4 linked regions of the Callithrix jacchus genome follow. The protein of the gene in region 1 purifies or fractionates together with the protein of each later gene. This does not show direct contact. Links are inferred from orthologs where the notes say so. Each region holds a gene or a part of one and is shown in the gene's direction. Other genes may lie near its edges.

Region 1 (8,414 bases):
AATCCCAGCACTTTGGGAGGCCAAGGCAGGTGGATCACTTGAGGTCAGGAGTTCAAGATCAGCCTGGCCAACATGGTGAAACTCTGTCTCTACTAAAAATACAAAAATGAACCAGGAATGGTGGTGGGTGCTGTAATCCCAGCTACTTGGGAGGCTGAGGCAGGAAAATCACTTGAACCCAGTAGGTGGAGGTTGCAGTGAGCTGAGATTGTGACATTGTACTCCAGCCTGAGCGACATAGTGAGACTTTGTCTCAAAAAATAAGAAAAAAAAAAAAAACAGGGCCAGCACAGTGGCTCATGCCTGTAATCTCAGCACTTAGGGAGGCCAATGTGGGCGGATCATGAAGTCAGGAGTTCGTGACCATCCTGACTAACATGCTGAAACCCTGTCTGTACTAAAAATAGAAAAATTAGCTGGGAATAGTGGCATGTGCCTATAGTCCCAGCTACATGGGAGGCTGAGGCAGAAGAATTGCTTGAACCCAGGAGGTGTAGGTTACAGTGAGTCGAGATCACACCACTGCACTCCAGCCTGGGTGACAAAGCAAGACTGTCTCAAGACAAAAAATAAAATAAAATAAAAAGGGGGGAAAGTGGTCAGGCTCTGTGGCATGTGGCATGTGCCTGCAGTCCTAGCTACTTGGAGGCTGAGGTGGGAGGATTGTTTGAGCACAGGAGTTCTGGGCTGTACTGTATTATGCTGACTGGTGTAGGGAGCCAGCCCCACACCCATCCATGGGTACCCTGAGTTCAGTGGTGACAAAGGAATTAGAAAAAGATAGATTAGGAGAGAAAGCAGGACCAGGGGATGATCACTTCTTTACTGGAGGCAGTGAAGGCCCAGTATATACTGAACACGATCGCTATTATCTGTAGTGCAGGCGGCAGGGTGAGTCGGTGGAGGGAGGCTGTGCATGAAACACATAACTGTTAACAGTGGCAGTTCATGTGAGTTTCTCAAGCGCTAAAAACGTATGCTTACCAATAGACAACGTAGCTGGTGGGCCTACAAGTCTGGTTACTTTGTAATGCTGCAAAAGGGTTTAAAGCCCTTGAGCGTGTTATGTACTGTTACAGAGTCAAGGTCACTCTGCACGTGGAACAAGAAGGCTTGGGGACGTCTGCCTCCCCAGAGGCCGGGCAGTTTGCTGCTTTTTACTGTTCCCACCGTTTGCAGCTATTTTACAGAGGCACTCTGTGAGCCCTCCTTCCATTGCCGTCCCCCCCAGCAACTGGGTGTCCGTACTAAGTTTGGCTTCCATATGGTAACCTCCCAGGAGCGGGAGACTACCAGGTTGCCTGGCAAGGGGTGAACTAGCCTAAGGCTGGAAATGGAGCGGGTCAAAACTCCTGATCGACGTGAGTGGGATCATGGCAGTGAATAGCCACTGTACACCGCCTGGGTGACACAGCGAATAGCCACTGCACACCAGCCTGGGTGACACAGTGAAACCCTGTCTCTGGAAAATAAATACATACATAAATAGGAAGCAGCACAGCAGAAAAGTTTGGAAAAATCACAAACTGGCAACGTGGAAGAGAAGAAAGAGCATTTGTTTTGAGATAGAGTCTCACTCTGTAGCCCAGGCTGGAGTGCAGTGGTGTGATCTTAACTCACTGCAACCTCCGTCTCCTGGGTCCTGGTTCAAGCAATTCTCCTACCTCAGCCTCCCAAGTAGCTGGGATTACAGGTAGGAGCCACCATGCCCAGCTAATTTTTGTATTTTTTAGTAGAGACAGGGTTTCACCATGTTGGTCAGCCTGGTCTTGAACTCCTTACCTCATGATCCACCCACCTCAGCCTCTCAAAGTGTTAGGATTACAGGCATGAGCCAATGCACTTGGCATTTTTTTTTTTTTTTTTTTTTTGGAAAGTGAGTCTCAATTTGTTGCCCAGACTGGAGTGAAATGGCACGATCTCAGCTCACTGCAATCTCTGCCTCCTAGGTTAAAGCGATTCTCCTGCCTCAGCCTCCTGAGTTGCTGGCCTTTTTCTTGAAAATTAGTCATTTGAATTTTGCAATAATTTCTATAGTTATTAAACAGGCTATTGAATCCATCCACAAAACTTAAAATGCAATACTTAACAACAGGGCCTTAAATAAAATAAATGCCAGCTCTCTGATCTCACGGCCAACAACCTGAGATTCCTGCCATCTGGTCCCAGTTCAGGACCTTTGCGCCTGCTGTTAACCCTCCCCGTCCCCCGATCTTGCTTCTATCTGGCCTTTGTTCAAATGACACTTCAGAGGAGCCTTCCGTTATCACCCTTTATAAAATGGCCTCACTCTCACTTCCCATCCCTTTACTCTGCTCTGTCCTTCTTTATTATGCTGGTCACCATCTCAAATTATTATTATTATTTTAAGATAGAGTGTCGCTCTTGTCACCCAGGCTGGAGTGCAATGGCGGTGATCTCTGCTCAGGGCAACCTCTGGCTCCTGGGTTCAAGCGATTCTTCTGCCTCAGCCTCCAGAGTAGCTGAGGTTACAGGCTCACACCACCATGCCCGGCCAATTTTTGTATTTTTTTGTAGAGACGGGGTTTCACCATGTTGGCCATGCTGGTCTCGAACAATTGATCTCGGGTGATCCGCCTGCCTCGGCCTCCCAAGTGATGGGATTACAGGAGTGAGCCACCGGGCCCAGCCCTTAAACTATCTTTATTCAGTCAAGCGCTTTTATTGTCTCCCTCAGTACAATGTAAGCCCAAGCAGGAGAAGACTTTGCTTTAGTCACGTGCTGTAGCCCCCAAAGCCCAGACAGTGCCTAGCACATACGAGATGCTCGATGAGCAGTTGATTGAATAGATTAGACATCAACGCAATCAGGCTATTCACTTAGGGACTCTTTGCTAGGCGGCGGAGAGGTACGTTACAGTACTCTACACAACACGCATGCGCGAAAAAAATCAGGGAAGTGTGATCGGGAAAGGGGCGGAGCGTCAGAGAGAGTCTCGTGGACATAGGCGGTTCGGAGCGGAAAGCGGCAGGTGGAGGGGCGGCTTGGGGCTGAGCGCGCGCGCGCAGCGCAGACGCCAGCTCCAGGAGACTGAGGTACTCAAGGTGCCCGAAGGCGGGGTAGTGACCTCGCGCGTGCGCTTTGCCAGCGACGGCTCCTGGGCCTGGTGTGTGGGTAGGTCTTGGCCTCTCGCGGCGCATGCGCAGTGCTGACGGCGGAGGGATTTCAGGTCGAGACCCACCCCCTGCTCCAGTCGGTAGCTGAGGCCGCGCGGGTTGTTGAGCAGCGGCCTTGTGCGCTCGCTGCGCGGGCAAGGGAGTCAGGCAGACGCGGACGCCGTCGGAGTGGAAGCCAAAGCGGAAGTTCTTGTTGCTGAGGGGCCGCCGCAGCCGCCCCGAGCCTCCGGACCGACGCCAGACCCAGGAGGGCGCCGCGCGGCGAGTGAGTGTGGCCGAGTGGTCCGGGGTGCTGGGCCGCTACCCACAAGCCCCTGCGGTGGGCCCCGGTACTTTTACCTGCAGCCAGGCCCCTTTGCCGCGTCCCCTGCTGCAGGTCCCTTCTGCATCCCTTTCCCGAAACCCGAGCCCTCTGCGCACCCACGCCTGCTTCCCGTAGCGTCCTAGGTCCCCTACCCACAGGCCCTTGCGGTGTATGGCCTTTTTTCTTTTTCGTCTTTCCATGTTGTCCTGGACCTTTACCCATAATTCCTTTCGTCTTGGGGGCGCCCAGGTCTGTTACCCACAGGCGCTTGGCTTTGGGGCTTCGCTGCTTATGTTTCTCTTTGCCCGGAGACTTCAGACCTCCAGGCCTCTGCAAACCGCATCTCATAATTTGTCCTCCAAGATACGAGACGAGCAGCCAGCCACAACTGCTCTGTGCCTCCTTTCTCGGGTCCTTGATTCCCCCAGAAATCCCCAGGGAAGCTCTCCGCCACACAGCTCGTGGGTCAGGACTCTGAGACCTCACTGCTCAGGAACCCTTTTCCAGCCTTTGTTTTTTGTTTCCTTTACGGGCCTGATTTTCACCTCCACCCCCACCAAGAGATGCCCTTTTCTCTTCTAGCGTAGGACGGTTCTCTGCCCTTTCAGAGCCTCTTCGAATTCCGAGACTTTACTCCTGTTTTCTCTCTTTTTCTTTTTTTTTTTTTTTTTGAGAGTCAGGGGACAAATAGGGGCTTTCTCTGTGCAGACCCAATCTAACCTAAGGCTGTCCTGCTTCTGCTCTCAGACTTGGCAAGATGACCCAGTTCCTGCCGCCCAACCTTCTGGCCCTTTTTGCCCCCCGTGACCCTATCCCATACCTGCCACCCCTGGAGAAACTGCCACATGAAAAACACCACAATCAACCTTACTGTGGCATTGCGCCGTACATTCGAGAGTTTGAGGTGAGTTCACTGAGCAGGCCAGGAATGGTTTGGGTTGTGGGGTGCAAGGATTGGATCTGGGAGTCCAGCCTCTGACTGGATTTGCTAGCTGTGTGATTTAAGCGACTGGCTTCATCTTTGTGATCCTCAGTTTCCCTGTTTTAAATGGGGTTGGAGCCAGGTGTGGTCGAGTGCACCTGTAGTTCCAGCTACTCAGGAGGCTGAGGTGGGAGGATTGCTTGAGCCCAGGAGTTGGAGGCTGGATTGCTTTGTGATTGCGCCACTATACTCCGGCCTCGGTGACAGAACAGGACCTCATCTCTTAAAAAAAATTTTTTTTTTTTTTTTTTTAAAGTGGACTTGTGGCCAGGTGCGGTAGCTTATGCTTGTAATTTCCAGTACTTTGGGAGGCTGAGGCGGGTGGATCACCTGAGGTCAGGAGTTCAAGACCAACCTGGCCAACATGATGAAATCCTGTCTCTACTAAAAATAGGAAAATTAGCTGGGCATGGTGGTGGGTACCTGTAATCCCAGCTACTCGGGAGACTGAGGCAGGAGAATCACTTGAACCCGAAGGGCAGAGGTTGCAGTGAGCCCAGATGGAACCGTTGCACTCCAACCTGGGCAATAGAAAGTACTGTCTCCGAACAAACAGACAAAGTGAGGCTGGGCTCAGTGGCTCACACCTGTAATCCCAGCACTTTGGAAGGCTGAGGCAGGTGGATCACCTGAGGTCAGAAGTTCAAGACTAGCCTGGTCAATATGGTGAAATCCCATCTCAACTAAAAATACAAAACTTAACCGGGCGTGATGGTGCTTGCTAGTCCCAACTACTTGGGAGGCCGAGGCAGAAGAATCACTTGAACCCGGGAGGCAGTCATTGCAGTGAGTCGAGATTGTCCCACTGTACTCCAGCCTGGGCAACAGAGTGAGGCTCCCATTTCAAAAAAAAAGTGGGGTTGATGGTATACCTTTTGTAGAATTTCTGTGAGAAAGTTCAGTTGAGTAGTGGTTGAGGATTCACACTTGGCTTGCACCATTTAATAGCTCTGTGAGTTTGGGCAAATGTGTATCTTAATGCATTGGTTTCTTTATCTTTAGCAAGGGGATAGTGGTAGCACCCCTCATACTGTTGGTGGAGAATTAAATGGCAATGTGTATGTCAGGGGGCTTGGCATCAAGCAGGCAGCCTATGTCGGCCTTTGCTACTCTGTTTACTACTTTTATTGTTAATAAGATGGTGTTCATAAAGGGCTAGCACCGAGCGTTGGAGGGCTTAAAACCCCAGACCAGGATCTTAGTTCTGCACCTTCAGGGTAAATGACTTCAGGAATGAATGACTTAGGCTCCTGGACCTCTCTGTTTTTATTTGTGAAATTGGGATGACAATGGTCATCTTGTAGGCGTATCTGAGGACACCTGAGGAAAGCTGGCACACAGCCAGAAGTTACAAGAACATTCTCGCATTGGGTAGGAATGGGCAGCTGGAGGTGGAGGGAGTTGCAGAGCAGAACTTCTTAGATAGGACGGGCGTGGTGGCTCACACTTGTAATCTCAGCACTTTGGGAGGCTGAGGCAGGCAGATCACGAAGTCAGGAGTTGGAGACCAGCCTGGCCAATGTAGTGAAACTCTGTTTCTACTAAAAATACCAAAACTACCTGGGCGTGGTGGCACGTGTCCGCAGTCCCAGCTACTTGGGAGGCTGAGGCAAGAGAATCGCTTGAACTTGGAAGGTGAAGGTTGCAGTGAGCCGAGATCACACTATTGCAGTCCAGCCTGGTCGACAGAGTGAGACTCCATCTCAAAAAAAAAAAACAAGTTCACAGATAATAGGAAGGTGGATCTTCATTGGGATTTGCCACCCTGGATGAACCAGCACTTAAGAAATGTTACTAGCCAATTAACTTAATTTAATGGGCACAGGCAGGTGGTAGATGCCCTCTGATGATGATGTGCCAGTTACTATTTATGAGACTGAGTTTCACTTTTGTTGCGCAGGCTGGAGTGCAGTGGTGTGATTTCAGCTCACTGCAGCCTTCAGTTCAAGCAGTTCTGCCTCAGCCTTTCCAGTAGCTGGGATTACAGGCATGTGCCACCATGCCTGGCCAATTTTGTATTGTTAGTAGAGATAGGGGTTCGCCATGTTGGCCAGGCTGGTTTCGAACCCCTGACCTCCAGTGATCCACCAGCCTTGACCTTCCAAACTGCTGGGATTACAGGCGTGAGCCACCACGTCCAGCAACCAGTTACTATTTAATGCATGGTTGGTGACACCTTTAAGTGCTGCCCTGGCACTCAGAGGGTGTGCAGTGTGGGCTTCGGAGTCCTGTCCTGTCAGCTCATGTTGCTTCAGGCCTGGTCCTCTTAACTGACTCTCATAAACAGGGCCCTCCCGTAACTCCGCTCCCATCACATCTTCTGGCACTTTGTTCAATGTGAGTGATGCTTGGAGCTGTGAGAAGCAGCGTGTTTCCTGAATATGGAAGACAGGGACCTTCAGCACTGTATTTTTAAGCTAGGTGTCACCTGTGCCAGTGCTTTTCAAACTGTCATTGGTGAAGGGCAGTTTCCAATCTGTTGCAGATTGATGCTTTTGATAAATAGGATAGAATTACTTTTTTTTTTTTTTGCGACGGAGTTTCGCTCTTGTTACCCAGGCTGGAGTGCAATGGCACGATCTCGGCTCACCGCAACCTCCGCCTCCTGGGTTCAAGCAATTCTCCTGCCTCAGCCTCCCGAGTAACTGGGACTACAGGCGTGCACCACCATGCCCAACTAATTTTTGTATTTTTAGTAGAGACGGTGTTTCACCTTGTTGACCAGGATGTTCTCCATCTCTTGACCTCATGACCTGCCTTGGCTTCCCAAAGTGCTGGGATTATAGGCGTGAGCCACTGCGCCCGGCCTAGAATTACTTTTTAAAGAAAGACTTACAGTCAGAAGTTCTAGACCAACCTGGCCAATATGGTGAAACCTCCTCTCTACTAAAAGTACAAAAATTAGCCAGCATAGTGTCGTTTACCTGTAATCCCAGGTACTCAGGAGGCTGAGGCAGGAGAATCACTTGAACGATTCTAGTCAGTTCCTGGGTTCCTTTTAGAAACACACGATTGCTAGTGGGTTCCTTGTAGAGACAGCACAGAGGGGAAAGCAGGACGTAGAATCGCTTGAACCTGGGAGGTGGAGGTTGCAGTGAGCCGAGGTCGCGCCATTGTACTCCACCCTGGGTCACATAGCAAGACTTTGCATCAAAAAATAGAAGACCTGGCGGGGCGCGGTGGCTCAAGGCTGTAATCCCAGCACTTTGGGAGGCCGAGGCGGGTGGATCACGAGGTCGAGAGATTGAGACCATTCTGGTCAACATGGTGAAACGCCATCTCTACTAAAAATACAAAAAATTAGCTGGGCATGGTGGCGTGTGCCTGTAATCCCAGCTACTCAGGAGGCTGAGGCAGGAGAATTGCCTGAACCCAGGAGGCGGAGGTTGCGGTGAGCCGAGATCGCGCCATTGTACTCCAGCCTGGGTAACAGGAGCGAAACTCGGTCTCAAAAAAAATAAATAAATAAAATAAAATAGAAGACCTGCAGAATAAAAGACCAAATTTGTATTAGTCAGTGAGCGTAAAACTGTGAAATTACTGTAGAAGTTTCTTAGCACTTACTCCTGGTTTCTGTACTTCTCACAGTCCAGCAGGTTTGGATAGTGCTGGTCCATGGACTGTGCTTCTTTTCTAAGATAGGGTCTTATTCTGTCATCCAGGCTGGAGTGCACTGTCACAGTCATTGTTCATGGCCGCCTCGCTCTCCAGTGCCCAAGAGATCCTCCTCCTTAGCCACCCTAGTAGCTGGGACTATAGACGTGTGCCCCCACACCTGGCTTATTTGTAAATTTTTAGTAGAGATGGTGTTTCACTGTGTTTCCCAGGCTGGTCTGAAACCCCTGGGCTCAAGCATTCTTCCTGTGTCATCCCCCCCAAAGTGATGAGATTACAAGTGGAAGCCACTGTGTGTGGCTGCAGACCATGCTTTGATCTGTGCCACTCCTCTCCCTCCACAGTGACTGGGGAAGTGTACATGTGTGTGTGTTT
Region 2 (7,676 bases), on another chromosome or scaffold:
TCAATTTTGAATAGGCAGTTCACATGGTTCAAAATTCAGTTCAAAAGATTTCCCTCTCATCTCTGTGTCCCAGCCATTCGGGTTGTTGTTCTCACCCCTCCCCTACACCAGTAGCACCATTTTCTTAAATGCTCTTTTGAGATGCCTGCATGCATGTTGTATTAACTGTTGAAAAAATAGCTGAAAATGAGTTGCAGCGAATCAGGAAAATATCAGTGGCATAGTAACTTACTCTAGCCTGTGATATCCTTAGAATATCCTGTGTTCAACTACATGACAGATTAACAGCCTTCTAGATTAGAATATCTACACTGAACTGGGATCTATATGAGTGATTCTTAGAATATGTGGACAGCTCATTGTGAGAGCAAAGAAGAGCTTTTAGGAACAGATTGAGTATTTGGACCGCATATTTTTGGAGGTTAAGGCTCCGACAGAACATGATAAGGCCTAGCTGATGTTAAGAATATGTATGTAATTTATGTATTTATTATTTTTTGTAGAGACAGAGTCTCACTGTGTTTCCCAGGCTAATCTTGAACTGACCTCAAGTAATCCTTCTACCTCAGCCTTTTAAAGTGCTGGGATTACAGGTGTGAGCCACCGTACCCAGCCTATACTTTTTTTTTTAAATTATTATTCTACTTTTGTTGTTGTTGTTGTTATTTTGTTGGTTAATTCTGTGCGCTTCTCTTTGCCTCTTCGATTTGTCCTGCAGAAACCAGTGTAGGGTGGTATTATAGTGCTTGCTTGAGATCATTAGCTTTGTCATCTACCTAGGTTCAGAGAAACAGCTCAGCAACATCCAGTGTGCTTGAGTCCAGAAACTTAAGCTCCTTGTTTTTAGTTTCCTCAGGAAAGATGATGTACATACCCACTGCATAGAAATAATTATGTGATTTAAATGATGACATGATATATAAAGCTTTCGGCTCAATATTATTTGTTACCTACACAAATAAATACTGTTTGCTAATAATTATGCGATTCCTAGAAGTAAGCCCTTAGTATTGAGTTCCCACATTTTAAAGATGTTTTTAAATAATGGTGTTAGTTACTCTGTATGGAGTAATACTCTGTTAAGTGCTGGAGTGCTGGAATCTTGCTGTTTTGTTTTTAATAGTTTCTGTTTTAAAGTTCATTGTAAGTATTGTTTTTAAAATACCTGAGAGCGTGAAGAAAATGGGACCTAGTATTAATGGACCATTTCCACTTAAAACCTTGAAGATCTTGGTTTAACGCTTTTCATCAGTATCACGTATTACTGACAGGGGAATGGATATTCAGCAGAGGAGCATGAGGAAAAGATTAGAGAAAAGAACATGAGGGTGACAACTACTATAGCAAGGATTTTAAGGAGTGAATAGACTGTTAGATATGAGATGACACCTATTTTGCAAGACACTAATGACCCACTCAAGAACATTCCAGTGCCTCTTATGGGAGTAGGTGTAATAGTGGTTTTATCATTGATTATGATGATGAATTTGCCATCAGTAAAGATGAATACATGCTTAATTCAGTTGTATATGTGCTCGTTGGTTTGCTGAATTAAGTGTTTGATGAGGGGATAAAATTGTCCTTCAGCACTGGTTCTAAAATGTGATTTAAATTTTTTCTGATTACTGAAGTAGCATTTTTAAATTTACCAAGAAAAACAGCAAACATTATATTCGTGCTAACACTTGTAGGCAAACAGTTTTGCTCTGGTACCCTGAAACCTGCCTGTTGCATGGATGGGATGCCTTGCAGTTCCTCCAGGAACGAAGGGAGATAAGCAGCCTTGTGCGAAACCGCACTAGGTCATTTTTCATTCTCCAGTGTTTCAGTTGCGCATGGGACTTTCCACTTGCCCACCCTTTGGGCTATAAAGTGGCTGAGCTATAGTTAAAATTGACTCCTTAACAGCAGAGCAACCCACAGCCTGCCTGTATTGCCTGTTATCTGGGCCCTCTGATTTGGTGTAATTGGTGGAAATAGAAGCAGGGAGCTGACACCATTCTGATTTGACTTTTGCTGTAAATAAATTTGTTTGGCCCATTATCTCCTGTGGATGAGGCACTGTAGCCATTGTGCTTTTGCCTAGGGATGGGCTTAGCTGTCAGAAAAATAACCCTGAGTATCAGGTCTCTTCTACCTTCACCAGATTCCTAACTTAAGTTGGCAACTTTCTACTCCTAGGGCCTTCTTTTGGCTTTGTGTGGAGTTTTAATTGGAACTGTGTTACATTATCTTTTTTTTTTTTTAATAGTACTGTAATCCACTTAGCATTGCTAATTAAAAGTCACATTGTACAGTAGTGGTTTTGAAATTTTAAATACTAATTTTCTTCTTAGGCTTTTCTACATTTACTAATTTCAGAAGAACCAACTAGCAAGAATGAGTATGTATATACATTTCAAACTATTATGAAAAATTTACATATACACAAAGATAGATTATTATTTTTATCATCATTCTTGTATATCCATTATCCAGATTCAATATTAGTCAGCCTGCTTTCATTTATTTATTAGTTCTCCTTCCCTTTGGATGAAGTAGAGAGACAACATTTTATATTGAAATGTAGTTTAATTTCTGTTGAAATTGTTGTCTGATTTTCTTTTATATGTTCTTGGTGATGTGATTTTTTTTTTTTTTTTATAGTAGTGGGGAAGATACCTGCTCTCATACTGAGCTGCTGTAGATAAAGGCTTATTGAAACCACTCTTGTACTGTATTTAATTGGAAGTTAAGGAAAAGGGGCATAGCTTAGGCTTTCATATCTTTTTTTAAAAACTTAGTTTTAGAAGGGGAAAGGGAAATATTTAAGAAACAAACAACAGATTCCTGAGAAATGAGTATTGCAAACATCTAGGCTCTTAAAGGAAAATAGGCTTTCTCAAGTACCTACTGTCTCCTTGACAGAAGAGTGTAGAAACTGAAATATATCAGATTGTTTAAGACACATTGGTGTTAGTGTGTTATCACTGTGAATAAGTAACAGGAGTTTGAGAACCCTTGGGTGAGAATTGAATCATCCCCAAGAATAGAGTTGAGTTGAAGTGGACTGGGGTGTTTAAAGGTTTCTTGGAAACTGTAAAGTCTTTACTAAACATATCAATTGAATGACTCTCATATGTATGTCAAATGAGTCATCAAAAGATAAAGCTTGCAGATTTTCTTTAATTTTCAGGGTTTTGAGAAGTTGGAACATGAGTTGGCCTCTTAGGATTTAGATATACTGGAAGAGCCTCAGACTTTATTCATTCTGCACAAATTATTGTCTCAGAGTGCTATTTAGTAGAAGTAATATGAACAATATATGCAATATAGAAGTAGTCATGTTAGAAACCAGTTAAATTAATTTTAGTATATAGTTTATCCAAAATATTTTTAACACACAATCAAATAAAAATAGGAGATCATCATTTATATTCCTTTTCTTTATATTAATTTTCAATTCAGACAGACACATATGATTAGTGGCTGTCACTGAATGTCATTGGTATAAAATGTGCAGGATTTCCACAGTGGTGCCTTGATAAATGTCTATAATTTCAGCACAAAATTTTATTTTGAGTAAATAGGTTTATAATATCAAAATGCGATTGGAGTAATTCAGACTGTAGTAGCATGCTTTATTGAACTTTTTCTGGTAATAAAAGTATTTTTTTACCCACTTTCCCACTTCTAGAGGAGGTTTTAATTGAAAATTAACAAAAGGAAGAAAAGACAGTGAGGAACTATGAAGCTCTTATATCAGTTCAAAACTTAAGTTGGTCATATTTTCAGTAAAAACTATGCACTATTGCTCCAGAAGTCTGAATCTCTTCAATCTGTTTATTCTCTTTTTGCTTAGTGGGAAGTGAATTTAGCCAGTCTGAGTTGCTTGCTACATAATTTCTCCTTACATCTCCTTAGCTCAACCCCAGACCGAAAGGATTAGCAAACGAACAAATCCATGTATTTTAACAGCGTGTCCTCTGATTATAAAGTCGATAGCAGAAGTAGATTTTCTGTTTCAGATTAATCATTTCTAAATTAGAACTAATGAATTAGGTTCTTTGTATATACCTGACTTCCTGTATTCAGAATATGATAAAGAAAAAAAGATTTTTATTCATTTGAATTTCTTTATCAGTTAACATCTTGGTATCTGCCGTTTTCTTAAATGCGACATGAAAATGAATTCTAAAAATCACTGAATAATATCAAGCTCAAAGGCCTGATAGACTTAAAACTAGTTTTGTTTAAACATAGTTTTAAAAATAAACGTCCAACTCATTTTTTTCTCTTTGTTTGCTAGTCGACAGCAGGAAATAGAAGAAAAACTCATCGAGGAAGAAACAGCACGAAGAGTGGAAGAATTGGTGGCGAAAAGGGTGGAGGAAGAACTGGAGAAAAGGAAGGATGAAATTGAACGAGAAGTTCTCCGAAGGGTGGAGGAAGCCAAGCGCATCATGGAAAAGCAGTTGCTCGAAGAACTCGAGCGACAGAGACAAGCTGAGCTTGCAGCACAAAAAGCTAGAGAGGTAACGCTCGGTCGTTTGGAAAGTAGAGACAGTCCATGGCAAAACTTTCAGTGTTGGGTTCTGCCTCCTGCTCAGTTCAGAAAGAGATGGAATACAGACTATCTAATTCCTTTCTCGTCTAAACTTACATTGCTGCGAAAGTTAATTTTTTAGCCTATTCAGAAGTGCTGACTGATAACTTAAAAGTTGGAAGCTTTTATAAAACATATTCAAGGATACTTTTTGATTTAATGGAACTGGCTGTCTATTTAAGAAGTGTTTGAAACTTTTGCCATGGCTGCAGGACTTACATTCTTTCTTGGGAGGACGGTGGGGAGACAGGGAGTGGTAAAGGAAAAAGGTTAAAAATCCACCTGTGGTTGGTTGTATATTCTATTCTCTATCACTCTGTTACCTAGACTGTGAGAGGCTTTTGCCTTCAGTCAGATTAAAAAGAGCAGGGCCTAACATTGAGTGATAGCACCTGCTTTGATAAATAGGTTTTCTCACTCTTGTTTTTTTCCTTCTTTTATCCCTCACTCCCCACCCCAAATCCTGCTTCAGCACAATGGACTAATTCTAGCATTCTGATCATAAGGCCCTCCATTTTCCTAATGTGTTTCAAGGAATCTTTTTAGGAAAAATATCCAGATTATTCATCCACTTTTTTTAGTATCTACTAACAACTCCTTTTTTTCTCTAGAGAGTTATGAAGGAACAGGTTGTCCTTGTCTGGAGTCAAGCTAAACACATGATTTGTTTTTATCAGCAGCTGGAGCAGAAGTTGAAAATGTCTTTCTGTGAGACAGTAATTTGCTACTGAAGCTTTATAGCTTGCTTGCACTGATTACTCCAGGATCCAAAAACTTGGTGAAAGTCATTGAAACACTCAAGGCAAATTACTTTACACCCCTGAGTGTCTGTCACCATGGTTGCATAATGAATATGAATCCCATTGGTGTGTGACATAGGAAATCCTGTAGTTGTATTTTCTTCAATGTAAGTTGAAATATTTGACACAAAATAATGATGACTCATTGTCATTTTTCATCTTTGCATTATGGACAATTGAAATACTAAATCTCTTTGCTTTCTGATAAGCTTAGCTTTTAAAATTCATTTTCCCTTGTCCTGTCTTTAACTAGATATACACGCTTATATTTATAGCGGGTTTCACAGACTATAAAATTGAATTATGAAATTTTTATTTATAGCAGTGCTTTTAATGAAGATTTTTTGGAGTAATGGTGCTGTCTTGTAGCGAGTTATTAATCATAGTAAGATTTTTTTCTCTTCATTTGCTTTTTTGTTTCATATTAACAATTTTTTTTTACACGGACACAACCCTCTGACAGTCTTTCCAAATATTAAAATTATTTGAATATGTATGCTGTGATCTGAACACTGCCCAAACCATCAAGCAGTCTTCATACAGTTTGCATTATAAAATTTCATTAAATTCTCCAAGAAAAAATAAGTTGAAGAATTTTATTTCCTGACCATGCATCCCCTGGATTTCTGAGTTTCAGTTCAGATTGTAGATGACAATATAAGCTGCCTTCCGAAATTGTCAACATCTGAATGTTAAGTCCATTTTCCCCATGGAAGAAGCCCGTAGTTCCATGAAGTATGGATTACCATTTGTATTTTTCACTAACAGTAAATGTATTTTTCTTATTAATTGTTTGCCTTAGGAATGATGAATTACATTTTTTGTTCCTTCTTACCATAAACATCTGCATTCCTCAGCTCAGCCTTCCTTGTATGTTGTTTCTTTATAAATGGTTGAGCTGCTGATGCAGGTATTGCCAAGCTAACAGTACAAATCATTTTAAAGAGGAAGCTGGCGTGTATGGCAGCCGAGGAGCACACTCTGCAGGACACTGGACAAGACAGTAAATATTCAACTTTTAATGCTGATTAAAGGAGTATAGGTAAAGAATACGTAGGTATACATAATTGGTGAGACAAATATTCACTTTATTTATATTTTATATATTATTTTTTTAATTTGGTAAATACTATCCAGTTTTGTAGTTGTCCTTGTTGATTTGTGTGATATTAAAGTATTAGTAATAATTGCCAGGAAACTATCATTAGGGAGGGTTTAGTTGGTTGCTGTTTGGACTGGGAGGGATGATTTAAATTTAGTGCTAGAAACCAATTTTAGTGGCTGCACAGTTTATCATTTATCAGACAGAAGGTAGCTATAAAGCTACCCCGTAAGTCATATCAAAAAAGTTCAGAGGAAGATTAGTAAATATTTATCAGTAAAAATAAACATTTTGTTTTTCTAACATCTTAACATATCCTCCCCTTTAGGAGGAAGAACGTGCAAAACGTGAGGAACTAGAGCGAATACTGGAAGAGAATAACCGAAAAATTGCAGAAGCACAAGCCAAACTGGTAAGTATAAAGTGTATGTGAAGAGTGTTTTGTATTTTGCTTTATTAATTTTTTTCAGATTTTGTGGATTGATTTTTGTGCTCTGTAATTTGACTTATTTTGAGGCAATTCTCTGGACTAACTTTAAAGGCTTTTTGAGGCAAAGATAGGAATAATTGAGTAGATTTTTACTACTCAATTTGTTTTGTTCTCTATCGCAGTTTTTTCTTTCCTAACCTCATTCACATTTCTGCTATGCCAGAAAAACTAATAGCACCAACAACGAAAGCTTGGAGGTGTATTTAAATCAACTATAATATGTAGCATTTTTCTTTATATTCGTTGGCTTGTTATCAGGAGTAGATAGTATATTTTTGATAGTAAGTGTACCAGAATAATTTCCTATCCCTAGTTTATAATCTATCAAGAAATACAAAGTCTTCGGTAATACGTAATATAGAAAGATGGGGGAAAAGCAAGTTGTAAGCTCCAATTACGTGGTATAAAGAAATTTTGCGGTTATAAATGCACAGAAAAACATCTGAGAGGGTCTAATTAGTTAACAGTGGACCCCATTGAGAGTAGTGATGAAGGGGTACCATAAATCTTAATAGGAATGTAAAAAGTTAATGTGGGACAGTCGTTTCTAGAGTATCATATTCTGAAAGATAGTGCACTCCAGGTAACAGATAATGCTAGAAATATTCCAGATAACTTAGTGAGCATGGCACAATGGATTCTTGGTAAATATCACCTGGTATTTGTGAAGGCCATAATGAAATCTATTGGAAAGCTATC
Region 3 (7,676 bases), on another chromosome or scaffold:
ACCATAATTTTTTTTGGGACGGAGTTTCGCTCTTTTTACCCAGTCGCTGGAGTGCAATGGCGCAATCTCGGCTCACCGCAACCTCTGCCTCCTGGGTTCAAGCAATTCTTCTGCCTCAGCCTCCCGAGTAGCTGGGACTACAGGCATGTGCCACCATGCCCAGCTAATTTTTGTATTTTTAGTAGAGACGGGGTTTCACCATGTTGACCAGGATGGTCTCGATCTCTTGACCTTGTGATCCACCCGTCTCAGCCTCCCAAAGTGCTGGGATTATAGGCGTGAGCCACCGCGCCCGGCAATGTTTGTATTTTTAATAGAGGCAGGGTTTCACCATGTTGGCCAGACTGATCTTGCTCTCCTAACATCAGATGATCTGCTGGCCTCAGCCTCCCAAAATGCTGGATTACAGGCGTGAGTCACCATGCCCGGCAGAGGTTCTTAGAATGTTTTATATGTTTGTTGAAATGGAAATATGTCCAATATAAACTGTTAAATGAGAACTACAAATTATAGAACTGAGTAAAATGTAACCCAATTTATGTAAAAATAAATTTGTGTATATACTTATGAATGCATATAAAATGATCTGGAATAATATTCCAACATACCCACAGTGCAGGGGTTAGGAAGAGAGATTTTTACTTTACATATAGGTGTATAAGTTTGTAATCTTTTTTTTTGAAATGGAGTCTCGCTCTGTCACCAGGCTGGAGTGCAGTGGTGCGACCTCGGCTCGTAACCTCCACCTCCTGGGTTCAAGCAATTCTCCTGCCTTAGCTTCCCAAGTAGCTGGGACTACAGGTGCATGCCACCATACCCAGCTAAATTTTGTATTTTTAGTAGAGGCGGGGTTTTAGCATGTTGGCCAGGATGGTCTCGATCTCTTCACCTCATAATCAACCCACCTCGGCCTCCCAAAGTGCTGGGATTACAGGTGTGAGCCACCGTGCCCGGCCCATGCTTGTAAATCTTCTTACCAACTGTAATTCTTTATTTCTTTTTCATGATTTATAATCAGTCTAAGGTCTTGTATGTCTGGATTTGAGGTTTGAAAATTAGAAACATCCAAATGACAGCTTGTTAGTATTGTTATGCTCCTTCATAAAGGTTGAGGACATAATTCAGGAAAAGCTGAAATTGTTATGCATATTATTGATAGGAATTGATACAGGTAGCATCTAGCAGATTTTCAACATCTAGATGTTTCACCCTTTCAACTTAATAAATGTGATTTAAAGTGTTGCAGGTAAAAATTAATGGTTTTATTCCTATTTATAGATTTTTGATGAAATTGAGTCATGAAACTGTAACCATTGAATTGAAGAATGGAACACAGGTCCATGGAACAATCACAGGTATGGAGGTTGGACTGCTTTTATAACATTTTTTTTCTTCTCTTCCACCTGCTAGCTTCTTTTTTGGATTGCTTAATGAACATTATTGTAGTACAAATCCTTATTTTGTCTAAATTATTTAATTGATTTTTGGAGACAAAGTTTCGCTCTATCACCCAGGCTGGAGTGCAGTGGTGTGATCTTGGCGCACTACAACCTCCACCTCCTGGGTTCACGCGATTCTCCTGACTCAGCCTTCAAATATCTGGCATCACAGGTACCTGCCACATGTCTGGCTAATTTTTGTGTTTTTAGTAGAGACAAAGTTTCACCGTGTCGGCCAAGCTGGTCTTGAATTGGGCCAGGCTGGTCAGTAGACTTCAGATGATCCACAGGCATGAGCCACTGCACTTGGCCTAAGTAGGTATTTAGTTATCCCATAAGTAGGTATTTAGTTATCCCATTTGTTCAGATATGATTTGAGAAAGGCTTCAGTATTAGGTGTCAGCTATAATGTCATATTTTCACCCTGAAAAATCTTGCTTTGTATTTTGTAAAATCTTAGAATAATAGCTTAATGAGAAAAACAGATTGTGGCAGACTACTTAAGAGCCCGTGCAGCTTTATAATCAAAGTATTCTTAATAAAAGCAGTAACAATTTTTTATTTGTATACATAGAAGCAGAAACAAAGGTGAGGATAGTTTGGTAGAATGGGGCTTATGAGGAAGTTACAATGACTGGGAGAAACAAGTAAGAAACACCTGTCAAATTGGTAGCTCCTAAAGCCCAGTCAGGGTTCTTCCATGGCTTGCTGCATTCACTTCTGTAAGCAAAACATTAGTGTGCTAGGAAAAATCTCTAGGAAGGAAACACTGCTGATTTATACTAACATTATTCCCCCATTTACCAGTCGCACGTGCTAAATTGTGTCACAGAAAACTTACACTGTAGCAGAACAGTATTCTTTTGTAGTCCAGTATTTACTGTGGCTTGGTAGATTAATTAGTTGCCTTCCTTGTATCATACTAATAACTGCCCAATTCTTTTCCTCTTGAGGTGTGGATGTCAGCATGAATACACATCTTAAAGCTGTGAAAATGACCCTGAAGAACAGAGAACCTGTACAGCTGGAAACGCTGAGTATTCGAGGAAATAACATTCGATACTTTATTCTACCAGACAGTTTACCTCTGGATACACTACTTGTGGATGTTGAACCTAAGGTGAAATCTAAGAAAAGGGAAGCAGGTAAGTTTGAAGGAATATAAACATTTTTTTGAATGCCAATCCTAATCTACACTACTCATAATATAAATATTTGTAAACAACACAAGTGTCTTTGTTGCTTAATATTTCCTATAGTATGTATTATAACTCCTGGAGTTGCTGTTAAAAACATTGATGTATTTCCTGTTCAAAGGATTTATCATTTTCTGTCCCCTGCCCCCACTTTGGAAGATTTGGAGATGGACTCTTTATTCCTAGTATTCTGAAATTTCTTAATGTCTTGGTATAGGGGCTTCTCATGTCTGTAATTGCAGCTATTTGAGAGGGTGAGGTGGGAGAATTGCTTGAACCCAGGAGGTGGAGGTTGCAGTGAGCCAAGATGCCACCACTGCATTCCAGCCTGGGCAACACAGAGTGAGATCCTGTCTCAAAAATAAATAAATTAAATTAAATTTGTTTTTAGGCTGGATGCAGTGGCTCATACCTATAATCCCAGCACTTTGGGAGGCTGAGGTGGGCGGATCACCTGAGGGCAGGATGAACTCCCAGTCTGATCAGCATGGAGACTCTTTAACAGACCAGCCTGACCAATATGGAAAAACCCCATCTCTACTAAAAGAACTTTGTTTTCTTTTTTTGAGATGGAGTCTCGCTCTTGTCACCCAGGCTGGAGTGTAATGGTATGGTCTTGGCTCACTTCAACGTCCACCTCCCAGATCCAAGCTAATATTCTTCCTCAGCCTCCCAAGTAGTTGGGACTACAGGCTCTTGCCACCACACCCAGCTAATTTTTGTATTTTTAGTAGAGGCAGAGTTTCACCATGTTTGCCAGGATGGTCTTGATCTCTTGACCCCGTGATCTACCCACCTTGGCCTCCCAAAGTGCTAGGATTACAGGCGTGAACCACCAAGCCTTACCTATTTTCTTTCTTTAAAAAGAAAAAGAAGCCAGGCATGGTGGCTTCCAGTACTTTGGGAAGCCCAGATGGGTGGATCGCCTGAGGTCAGAGTTTGAGACCAGCCCGGCCAACATAGTGAAACTCCATCTCTACTAAAAACACACAAAAAAGAGCCGGGCATGGTGGTGGGTCTGTAAAGGCTGGACTGCAGAGTGAGACCCTATATCCAAAAGAAAATTTAGAATGTGACTGTATCAGGATTTTCTAATATTTATAGCTGTCTGAAGATGAAATGTTTATTTGGGTGATGAGTTCTCTGTCATCATGATACTCAACTTGAGTTAGGATGACCAAGTGACAGGGATATTGCTATATGGGTTAAAGCACTAGATTATGTTTGGGTCAAATGAATTTTAATTTTCTGAAGAGTTAATAAGATTGTGATTGATATCATAGTTATAAACTTTCCTGGATTTGAATTAACTTGCTTGGATTTTATTCAGTTACCAGACTCTGGCATCAGGTTATTCATGTTCTATTGATATATCTCTTCCATTTTTTGTGAGGTTCAAATCATTTTATGGTGAATTTGAGACATGATATAAAGAAAACATATTTAAAATTTGACAAATTTCTTAGTAAATAAATTGAAACAAATAATAATCTTCCTAGGCCTTTAGTTCTTGGTTCTGCATGATAATGTGTTGAGGGGGTGGCGGGAAATCTGAAGTCTTAACACATTTAAGAGAAGCTAGTTAAACTTAACTTTACTGTAACTGCTAATAAAGAGCTATAAACGGGGAAAGGTGTCTGTGTGTAAACGCTGTTTGTGGTGGCTAGGTAACATTCATGCAGAAGAGAATTGAATTTGCTTTGTTTTTCTTTTCCCTCAGTTGCAGGAAGAGGCCGAGGCCGAGGCAGAGGAAGAGGACGTGGCCGTGGCAGAGGAAGAGGGGGTCCTAGGCGATAATGTTTCTCATGATTACTGTTTCAAAGTCATATGGGATCTGGGATATTTTTTGTACAGGTTGTGTTTGTTTATGTCAGTTTTTAATAAACATAAATGTGGGACAGAGTGGTCTATTGAGTATATCAGAGTTTTAGTAGTTTCCTCCACATTCATAAGAATACCACAGTGAAAGCTAAGCATTTCTACTGGGCAGTTTCATTTTTAGATGATCAGGCTTTAAGTTTTGAACTAAAATTTTTATTTTTATGATAATAAAAATAAGGTTAAAAGAAAAGCCTCAGACAAATTAAATTTGACAGTTTAATTGAGCAAAGAACAATTCATAAATCAGCCCCTGAACCAGAATCGGTTCAGAGGCTTCAGCCCAGCTGCATAGTTGATGAGGATTTATGGACAGAAGAAGGAAAGAGATGTATGGAAAATGGAAGTGAGATACAGCAACAGCTGGATTAGTTACAGTTCAGCGTTTGCCTTATTTGAATATAGGTTGAACAGTTCGCAGCCTTTGATTGGCTGAAACTTAGTAATTGGCCCAAGAGTAGGGTACCATCTGTTTACATAACCAGTTAGGCTGCAGTTCACTTTGTACTGAGAAACCTTTAGGCTAAACTTAAGATATGTAAAGAGACAACTTTAGGCTAAACTTATATAGAATATATACCCTTTTACTTCACATGCACTGAATGTGCATTTTATTGCTTTACTCTGACATCATTCTGTGGCACCCACCTACAAGGGGAAGTAAGTTCTTTTTGGTATTTCAGAAACTAAAGTCCTTGTGGGATGGGGTCTAAAATTCTCAATTCCTGGGGGGCCGGGCGCGGTGGCTCAAGCCTGTAATCCCAGCACTTTGGGAGGCCGAGGTGGGTGGATCACGGGGTCAAGAGATCGAGACCATCCTGGTCAACATGGTGAAACCCCGTCTCTACTAAAAATAACAAAAAACTATCTGGGCATAGTGGCACGTGCCTGTAATCCCAGCTACTCAGGAGGCTGAGGCAGGAGAATTGCCTGAACCCAGGAGGTGGAGGTTGCAGTGAGCTGAGATCCTGCCATTGCACTCCAGACTGGGTAACGAGCGAAACTCTGTCTCAAAAAAAAAAAAAAAAAAAAAATTTCGCTGTTCCTGAGTTTTACTCCACAGAGTCTAAGGTACTTGGTAAAAAGTTGTCTTCTATATTAAGGGTCATTGCTTTTGTTTTCTAGCTGCTGATTTTTGTTTCTTTTGCTTTTTAATCAGTTCTCAATAGGGTATAGTTTTAATGTTCTCCAAGTTGAAACTTGGAGTTAAATGTTCACTAGATTATCAGTTGTGAGCAGTGTTAAAACAGGTTAATGTGGAATGTACGTCAGTGCATCCTTTAAGGGGTTCTTTGAGAATAAAAGAGAAAAGAGCTACTTCATTTGACTGCAAAACTGTTCTAATTGTTAATAAAGATTTTTAAAAAATGGTTCTAATTGGTTAAGCTCAGAAAAATGCCTCTCTGTATCAGTTTTTTGTAAAGATTACTACCAAATATTTATATGCTAAGGAAAAAAACTGAGGATGTGGGTGACTTAAATCTGTATTTTCTTCATGCATGTGAATTGTTAAATAGGGAAATTTTCTGCAAAGATTGTTACCTAAAAAAAGTTTAAGTCCTATAAGAGGTTTATATAAATTGAGAGCAAGAGTGGGGATGTGTATGTTTTAAAGAAGTCACTATAGCTTGCAGGGACTCGGTGGGTGCTGCTGGATGCCCCCTCCCCGGCAAAAATAAAGAAGTCACTATAAAACGTGCATATAAATGTATATTATATAAATATAGTATATAATAAATTTGAATTTACTTGATGAGGTAAGATACTTTAAAAACATTATCGGCTGTGTGCAGTGGCTCAAATCTATAATCCCAGCACTTTGGGAGGCCAGGGTTGGGGAATCACTTGAGGTCAGGAGTTCGAGACCAGCTTCGCCAACATGGTGAAATCTCATCTCTACTAAAAAATAAAAAAAAATTAGCTGGACATGGTGCTGGCACCTGTAATCCCAGCTGTTTGGGAGGCTGAGGCAGGAGAATCATTTGAACATGGGAGGTGGAAGTTGCAGTGAGCTGAGATTGCGCCACTGTACTCCAGCCTGGGCGACCGAGGGAGTTTCCATCTCAAAAAATTGTATATATATTTATACTAATAGATATTAATATAAATGTGGAATGTACCTGTCATAAGATATATAAATTTATATATTAGTATAAATACATATTAGCTAATATATCTATTTTAAGTATCTTACCTCATCAAGTAAATACTTTTTTATTTTTCCACAGTTGATGTTCTGTTTTTTCATAAGTCATTGAAGTTATGTAGTAATTAGCTTTTTCTCCCCCACAAATTATCGGCAGTGGTCATCCAGTTTTATTACAGGTTCTATGATCCAAAAGGGGATGTATGAAATTAATGATGATTAAGACAATTCTTTAATAGTATATTAAAGGTGGGTCGGCATGACAAGATACAACCAATATGTAATTTTTTGCCTTCATTAATTGAGCTGGGGAATAAATATCTGGATTTCATTCTTTTCCATCTTCTGATCTATTGGTGCTCCTATTGGTTGTATCCAAGCAGAAGACAAAAGGGGAGAGACTCCTGTAATGCAGCAGGTGGAGAGGAGATTTGAAGGGGTCAAACAGAAAAACCCTGCAAGAGTAGGAAATCAACATAGTTGGCTCTGTCCTCATGGAACTTACAGACTAAAAGGAAAGCAGGTACCACATAAAAATTGGAGCTGGATACCATGGTGCACACCTGTAGTCCTTGCTACTGGGGATGCTAAGGCAAGAGAATTGCTAGAACCCGGGAGTTTGACGCCATAGCATGCTATGATTGCAACTTACAGCCCTCCAGCCCTGGGTAATCTAGTGAGACTTGACTCTTAAATTTAAAAATTTTGAAAATAGCCCGCATAACATAAGAGATCTAAAATTATGTTTTTGGCCTGGTGTGGCAGCTCACGCCTGTAACTCGAACACTTAGGGAGGCCAAGGTTGGCAAATCTCTCAAGGTCAGCAGTTTGAGACCAGCCTGGGTTAACACGGTGAAACCCCGTCTCTATTGAAAATAGAAAAGTTAGCTAGGTGGTGTGGTCGGTGTCTGTACTCCCAGTTACTCGGGAGGCTGTGGCAGGAGACTCGTTTGAACCCTGGAGGAAGAGGTTGCAGTGAGCCGAGATCATACCACTGCACTCCAGCCTGAGTGACAG
Region 4 (7,676 bases), on another chromosome or scaffold:
CGCAACCTCCGCCTTCTGGGTTCAAGCAATTCTGCCTCAGCCTCCTGAGTAGCTGGGACTACAGGCGTGCACCACCATGCCCAGCTAATTTTTGTATTTTTAGTAGAGACGGGGTTTCACCTTGTTGACCAGGATGGTCTCGATCTCTTGATCTCGTGATCCACCCACCTCAGCCTCCCAAAGTGCTGGGATTATAGGCGTGAGCTACCACGCCCGGCCTTCTTTCTGTTTCTTTTTTTTTTTTGAGACAGAGTTCGCTCTGTTGCCTAGGCTAGAGTACAGTGACGTGATCTTGGCTCACTGCAACCTCCATTTCCCCAGTTGAAGCAATTCTCCTGCCTCGGCCTCCCGAGCACCTGAGACTACAGGCATATACCACAATTGTATTTTTAGCAGAGATGGGGTTTCACCATACTGGCCAGGCTGGTCTTGAATTCCTGACCTCATGATCTACCCACCTTGGCCTCCCAAAGAGCTGGGATTACAGGTGTGAGCCACTGTTCCCAGCCCCTTTATTGTTTTCTAGTTGAAAAGTTTATCCATTTGAGTAAAGCTTCCGTTATTCACACTATCAAAATATTCAGTGAATTCACTGAAGATTTTTTTGCCAAGTTGGATCAGTTTACAATAGATCAGAACCTAAAAGCCTAAATTATGTCTCTTAAAGGGACCCTTTTTCCTGTTGAACATTTTAAACACAGTTTCACTAAGTAATTTTCATATAGTATGTTATGGTTTAATCGTAGAAAAGTTCATGTTGAATTTTTTTAAAAAAGCAACTAAGTCAGTGGGAGTCTGTGTAACATAGAGGCTGGACCTCAGTGTGACAGATTGAGAATAAAGGGAATGGAGCATTTGTGAAAAATGTTAGTTTTTTTTCTTCCTTAAATTAATGTCTTCTTATTGGATAGCCCTTTTAAGCAACAATTTGTTCAGTATGTTAGTTTTTTAATTTGGATAGGTGCTACATTTTCTTAGTTCAAGTTATATAGAAAGTCTAGACAAATTTCCTTTCTACCCTGTGCCTATGTCTACCAAATTCCTTTTTCCCCTGCAAGGCATCCAGTTTTAGTAGTTTTTGGTTTATCTTTTTAATATTTCCTTAGGCAAGTACAAATATATATTCTTATTTCCTTAATTCTTAAATGAGTGGTAGTAATGTTGGTAGCCTATCATGTTCACTGACCTACATTTGCTTTATTCACCATCCTGTTTCATCAGCTCTAAGGAAATGTACCATTATTATATGTACCACTAAGAAATGATAAAACACTGCTAACTAAACTATTGCACAATGCTTGCTTATCACATTGACTAAGTTGTTTCTCTATTTCAGAGATGGAAAAGCAGTGTATCCTGTCAATCTCTTATAGCTCATAGAGCTCTCTTTCATTTTTTATGACTACATAGTAGTCTATTCTGTGGATGTACTATAGTGTATTTAACCAGCTGGATATTTAATTGTTTCTGATCTTTTGCTCTTACAATGCTGTAATGAATAAGCTTGTATCAATTGATAGAAGTTGAGATATATCTGTAGGAGAGGTTCTTAGGGGTAGAATCGTAGGCCAAAGGGTAAATACATCTGTAATTGTTAGGATACTGCCATATACCCTTTGTAGGACATACACTGTTTTACATTTCTACCAGGAAAATACAAGAGAACAGTTTTCGTCATTCTTGACAAAACAGTGTATGATCAAACTTTTGAACTTTGCCAGTCTGTTAACAAATGGTGTGTCAGTGTCATTAATGATTTGCTTCTCTTACTATGCATGGTTTGAACTTTAAATATATTTTAAGAGCCATATACATTTCTTGGTGTGAACCATGTATTCATGAATTTTGCCTATTTTTCTATTCAGTTGTTGAGCTTTTTATTATTTTCTGGTGCTCTGATATAAAAGAGAGATTAGCTGTTCATGATACATGTTGCAAATATTTCTTCCATATTTATTGTCTTTGCCTGTGGTATTTTTTGCCATATGGAAGTCATTTATTTTTAGTAGTTGAGTATATCACTCTTATGTATCCTGGATTTTAAGTCATATGGTCATCTCCACTCCAGTGATATATAAAGAAATCATCCTTATTCTGATACTTTCTTAGTCCTCCCTCCACCCGTTTATCATTTAAATTTTCAATCTGTTGGGAGTTTATGCTGGTTTATAGTGTGAAGTGTGGACCATCTTTTATCTTTTTTTTTTCTGATTAACAGTACCTGATTTAGTGATTTAAGGATTATGTTTGTTTATATTCAGTAGGGCCAGTCTCTAAATTTTACTTTTTTTTCCCCCTGGTTATTCTTGCTTATTTATTTTTTCATATGAACTTTTAAAAGTTACTTGGTTTTAGAGGGAAGAAAGAAAAGCTTATTTTGAAGTGGACTTGGGGACCATGTCAAATTTGTTAATTAACTTGAAATAATAATTATATGTTGGTTTCTTGAAGGTTCTACTCAGTGTTAGGTGCTTTAATGACAACATAGGAGAAGGCAGTAACCAATAGTTTTTATAAATTGATGACTGCTATTAGTATAATTTTCCTAGCAGTTTCTTATACTACCTGTAACAGCACTTTTAGCACTTAATGTTTTAGAGGGGAAAAGCCTATGCTTTGAAGACAGGAAGAAACACTTTTCAGGTAGAATTAAGTAGCCAATTACAGTTCCGTTTATTTGTTGCTTACTAGGTAAAAGTTTTGTTTGTGAGAAATTTGGCTACTACAGTCACAGAAGAAATATTGGAAAAGTCATTTTCTGAATTTGGAAAACTTGAAAGAGTGAAGAAGTTGAAAGATTATGCATTTGTTCATTTTGAAGACAGAGGAGCAGCCGTTAAGGTAGAAATTTTGGAATTTTGGTTCTTGATATTTGAATTTTGTTTTCAAAAGTTGCTAAACACATAAAATAACTTTAAAAACAAATAAAATTGGTTGTTAGCTTTTGCTGAACTCTGGAACTTTCTATTTAATCTCTAAAGTGGTAGTATTATGACAGATAAGACTTCATATTTCAAAGCCAGATTATTACTGAGTTGGTGATTTTAGGCAAGCTATTTTTAATCTCTGTATTGTTTTGTAAGATTTGATAGCATGATGCCTTGGAAGTATTACAAGGCATAAAAATTAGCTGCTGTAAACACTAAATAGGTAGTGAATGTATTATAACTACTTAGTTTACCTCAGTTTGTGTACCTATGAAGGAAACTGAATGGTGCACATAACTCTCACAGTATACAGTGTTTGATTGGGTAGATACATTGTGATGGTATGATTAGTTTTACTTTAATTATTTTAGAGTTAAAATAACATTGGCTATGTTTTACTGATTTCAGTAATTGTTAGAGTTAGCTCTTGTGTATAATAGTCTTTGATGACAATGAAGTGTGAAAAATGTATTTTCATATACTATCTGGAACACAAAACCTGCTCTGCTTTCTATTGACAATGGACCATATTTTTTTTTTTTTTTTTTTTTTTTTTTGTGGAGTCTTGCTCTATCACCCAGGCTGGAGTGCAATGGCATGATCTTGGCTCACTGCAACCTCTGCCTACCGGGTTCAAGTGATTCTCCTGCTTTAGCCTTCTGAGTAGCTGGAATTACAGGCACATGCCACCATGCCCAGCTAATTTTTGGATTTTTAGTAGAGACAGGGTTTCACTGTGTTGGTCAGGCTGGTCTTGAACTCCTGACCTCATGATCTGCCCACCTAAGCCTCCCAAAATGCTGGGATTACAGGCTTGAGCCACTGTGCTCCGCAGTTTAGATCCATCTTTAATGGGTGAAAATTTCAGTTTCTTTTTCTTGTTCATCTGTCCTTCCTTGAAGGGATGGGAAGGAAGACAAAACATTACTAAGATCTTTTTTATGTTATTAGGAAGATAGATCCAGAATGCTCAGTGACACAGGCTTGGTTCTTTCTCTGCATATTTGGTCGACAGGGTACTGCACCTCTAATTTGGGCATTTTTTTTGTTTTGTTTTTTGCCCAGGCTACTGCATTTTAAACAGGCTTTATAGAATCTCTGACTAGTTTAGAATTAATTGGCTTGCTCATTTATGGTAGCTAATTAATGAATGGTATTGTTAATAAAATTCATAACTTGTCCAAGATCATAAACTCAGTAATAACCTGGCTTTGAAATATGGAGTCTTACCTGTTATACTGTTACACTCTTAACTGTTAATGTGTGGCTTCTGAAATTTCCACTGGTATAGAATGCAGATGACTGATAATTTATGCTTTCCAAATATTCCTCCTGTCTCGATTGTTTTAGGATGGTTTGCCAAAGAAGCCTATGAAATTACAAAATATCTAGTCCAGGAACTGGGAAGTCACTAGGATGGTCAGGGCAGACAATAGATGTTTCATTTTTTGATTTATGCCAGGAAGCTTTTGTAAAGTTGTTGAGTTGCTTTAACGGAAGAAATGTAAAGCTGAGGTGGTAAAAGGGAAAATTGAAGTCTTCAGTTTTTTTTCTAGATACTTATAAATCACTGATAGTTCTTTATAAATAGAACATTTTTAGTATGTGCGCCCAGAGTGGGGAAAGGTAGAGGGAAACAAAAAATAAATTACGAGGAGGTGACATTTTCTTACTATCTGAACCTTTTGATGAATGGCAGAGGTTGTTAGGTGGAACAGCATGAACAAAGGGCAAGAACGTGGAATGTTTGATTACTGCTTTCTGCGTAATTGCTTGAGTCTTCATTACTTCATTAGTCCAGGCCTTTTCTGGCTCTCTACTTTTAACTGTTCAGGCAGAGTACATTTTGGGTTAAGCATTGTAGGGGAACTTGGGCTTTTTGTGTTGGTATCTCGTTGAATTTTAAAGATAATCTCACTCAGTAACCTCATTTGTGCTTCAGATCCTTGAAATTTTTATATAAGAACAGTGTAAGACCTGTATGTTGAATGCCACACGTTTATTTTTAAATTAATCCTGAAAAGTTAATCTTTGTCTGGTTTGCATTAATACTGGCGTTTTTCCCTGGTATGGATTTGCTTCTTTCTTTAGTATGGCTTATCTTTTAAGGAGTTGGTTATTTGGAATTAAGGAGAAACAATAGATGGCAACTATTTTACCTTTTAAAATATAATATCAGGAGGTTGGTTTTGTTCTTGATGTAATTTACATATAAAAAGATTAGGTCAAGGGAAACGTTTTTTCTGTGTGTGTGTGCGCGTGTGCGCGTTTACCTTTCTGGCTAGATTTACCTTTTGCCATTTAAAATAATTGTGAAGTAAATTGTTTATTAAGTATATTAATGACATGTGTATGTTATGTTTTATTATAAAACATTGTAAAGTAAATTAATTTTTCTAATTTTATATAGGCAATGGATGAAATGAATGGCAAAGAAATAGAAGGGGAAGAAATTGAAATAGTCTTAGCCAAGCCACCAGACAAGAAAAGGAAAGAGCGTCAAGCTGCTAGACAGGCCTCCAGAAGCACTGCGTGAGTCTACATTTTAGTATTTATCTCTTTGGATAAGGAATAACAATAATGGAGATCAGATTAATAAAATCAGGGGTCTTGAAGCAAACTAATTTGTTTTTTCTTCTCTCCCTTCCCTCCTTTGCTAGGTATGAAGATTATTACTACCACCCTCCTCCTCGAATGCCACCTCCAATTAGAGGTCGGGGTCGTGGTGGGGGGAGAGGTGGATATGGCTACCCTCCAGATTACTATGGCTATGAAGATTACTATGATGATTACTATGGTTATGATTATCACGACTATCGTGGAGGCTATGAAGATCCCTACTACGGCTATGATGATGGCTATGCAGTAAGAGGAAGAGGAGGAGGAAGGGGAGGGCGAGGTGCTCCACCACCACCAAGGGGGAGGGGAGCACCACCTCCAAGAGGTAGAGCTGGCTATTCACAGAGGGGGGCACCTTTGGGACCACCAAGAGGCTCTAGGGGTGGCAGAGGGGGTCCTGCACAACAGCAGAGAGGCCGTGGTTCCCGTGGATCTCGGGGCAATCGTGGGGGCAATGTAGGAGGCAAGAGAAAGGCAGATGGGTACAACCAGCCTGATTCCAAGCGTCGTCAGACCAACAACCAACAGAACTGGGGTTCCCAACCCATCGCTCAGCAGCCGCTTCAGCAAGGTGGTGACTATTCTGGTAACTATGGTTACAATAATGACAACCAGGAATTTTATCAGGATACTTATGGGCAACAGTGGAAGTAGACAAGTAAGGGCTTGAAAATGATACTGGCAAGATACGATTGGCTCTAGATCTACATTCTTCAAAAAAAAAATGGCTTAACTGTTTCATCTTTAAGTAGCAATTTGCTGCCATTTGTATTGGGCTGAAGAAATCACTATTGTGTATATACTCAAGTCTTTTTATTTTTCCTCTTTTCATAAATGCTCTTGGACATTATTGGGCTTGCAGAGTTCCCTTATTCTGGGGATTACAATGCTTTTATCGTTTCAGGCTTCATTTTAGCTTCAAAACAAGCTGGGCACACTGTTAAATCATGATTTTGCAGAACCTTTGGTTTTGGACAGTTTCATTTTTTTGGATTTGGAATAGATTACATAGGAGTATGGAGTATGCTGTAAATAAAAATACAAGCTAGTGCTTTGTCTTAGTAGTTTTAAGAGATTAAAGCAAACAAATTTAAGTTTTCTTGTATTGAAAATAACCTATGATTGTATGTTTTGCATTCCTAGAAGTAGGTCAACTGTGTTTTTAAATTGTTATAACTTCACACCTTTTTGAAATCTGCCCTACAAAATTTGTTTGGCTTAAACGTCAAAAGCCGTGACAATTTGTTCTTTGATGTGATTGTATTTCCAATTTCTTGTTCATGTAAGATTTCAATAAAACTAAAAAATCTATTCAAAACATTACCTATTTCAAATTCAATTGTGTCCTAAAACATCATTTTATTCGTAATCCTTGCAAGGAATATTGTTTTCAAAGTATAACTGCCTATGTGAGTGATCAAATTCATGCAAAATTTCTTGTCTATTCCAACATGTATGGTGGATATTAGACTGAGGGTTAGTCTAAATTCAAGTATTATTCCAATTAGCACTTCATTAATTGGTGTTCTCTCATAGTCTCTTCTAATTTTGAAATTTTATCCTTTATTTAAAAGAAAAAAACAGGTTCAAAGACTTTTGAGCATTCTTTGCAGGCATTGGATAATTTGCGTTAAAACAAAATGTGGCTGGGAAAGCAGACTGCAAATTTATTTTGACCCACATTCTTTATAAGGGTTAATTTGTGGCTGAAGACCTTATTTGCAGAATAAGTGAATGTACATACAGGGAAAACTGTTAGTACTGTGGCGTCAGTTGCACTGCAGGCTTTAGTTTTAGTAAACATGATAGTGACTTCCATTTTAGTTAATGAATATAATTTCCTATTGCTATGTAAATTTGCTTTGAGAAACATTTATGCCTTGTAAGAGAGGCTTAAAAATATCCAGTAGTAATACCCCTGACTTTCTGTTAACACCTCGTTTATTTTTAGTTATCTGCTATCCCTGATGCCTGAATTTTTTGTTGGCCAATACATAACATCTGTTTCTCTATTCCTTTAGAAATTCTGATTTATTTTAATGACTTTTTTGCTTGAGAATGAGAGGAACAAAAGAATCTAAGCTTTACGGTACAGCAGAGTCTGAATCCCTTTCAAATTACTATTAAATT

Evidence for each region. The genes of interacting proteins can lie anywhere in the genome.
Region 2: the proteins of SNRNP70 (region 1) and ARGLU1 purify together in Homo sapiens (affinity purification with mass spectrometry; 3 studies listed by BioGRID and IntAct, with this or other methods). This does not show direct contact. The link is inferred for Callithrix jacchus from reciprocal best matches to the Homo sapiens genes SNRNP70 and ARGLU1.
Region 3: the proteins of SNRNP70 (region 1) and SNRPD1 purify together in Homo sapiens (affinity purification with mass spectrometry; 6 studies listed by BioGRID and IntAct, counting the BioPlex papers as one, with this or other methods). This does not show direct contact. The link is inferred for Callithrix jacchus from reciprocal best matches to the Homo sapiens genes SNRNP70 and SNRPD1.
Region 4: the proteins of SNRNP70 (region 1) and HNRNPR purify together in Homo sapiens (affinity purification with mass spectrometry; 3 studies listed by BioGRID and IntAct, with this or other methods). This does not show direct contact. The link is inferred for Callithrix jacchus from reciprocal best matches to the Homo sapiens genes SNRNP70 and HNRNPR.

What each region holds. Positions count from the first base shown.
Region 1 is NC_133523.1:42,897,919-42,906,332, forward strand, and holds the start of SNRNP70 (U1 small nuclear ribonucleoprotein 70 kDa), read left to right. Parts: upstream 1-3,213; 5' UTR 3,214-3,407; intron 3,408-4,189; 5' UTR 4,190-4,199; coding exon 4,200-4,346; intron 4,347-8,414. UniProt on the Homo sapiens protein: Component of the spliceosomal U1 snRNP, which is essential for recognition of the pre-mRNA 5' splice-site and the subsequent assembly of the spliceosome. SNRNP70 binds to the loop I region of U1-snRNA.
Region 2 is NC_133502.1:22,211,667-22,219,342, reverse strand, and holds part of ARGLU1 (arginine and glutamate-rich protein 1), read left to right. Parts: intron 1-4,288; coding exon 4,289-4,514; intron 4,515-6,330; coding exon of another isoform or gene 6,331-6,417; exon of another isoform or gene 6,418-6,563; intron 6,564-6,815; coding exon 6,816-6,899; intron 6,900-7,676. UniProt on the Homo sapiens protein: Dual function regulator of gene expression; regulator of transcription and modulator of alternative splicing. General coactivator of nuclear receptor-induced gene expression, including genes activated by the glucocorticoid receptor NR3C1.
Region 3 is NC_133514.1:64,591,044-64,598,719, forward strand, and holds the end of SNRPD1 (small nuclear ribonucleoprotein Sm D1), read left to right. Parts: intron 1-1,278; coding exon 1,279-1,355; intron 1,356-2,392; coding exon 2,393-2,584; intron 2,585-4,355; coding exon 4,356-4,432; 3' UTR 4,433-5,909; downstream 5,910-7,676. UniProt on the Homo sapiens protein: Plays a role in pre-mRNA splicing as a core component of the spliceosomal U1, U2, U4 and U5 small nuclear ribonucleoproteins (snRNPs), the building blocks of the spliceosome.
Region 4 is NC_133508.1:60,066,461-60,074,136, reverse strand, and holds the end of HNRNPR (heterogeneous nuclear ribonucleoprotein R), read left to right. Parts: intron 1-2,691; coding exon 2,692-2,841; intron 2,842-5,337; coding exon 5,338-5,459; intron 5,460-5,587; coding exon 5,588-6,200; 3' UTR 6,201-6,866; downstream 6,867-7,676. UniProt on the Homo sapiens protein: Component of ribonucleosomes, which are complexes of at least 20 other different heterogeneous nuclear ribonucleoproteins (hnRNP). hnRNP play an important role in processing of precursor mRNA in the nucleus.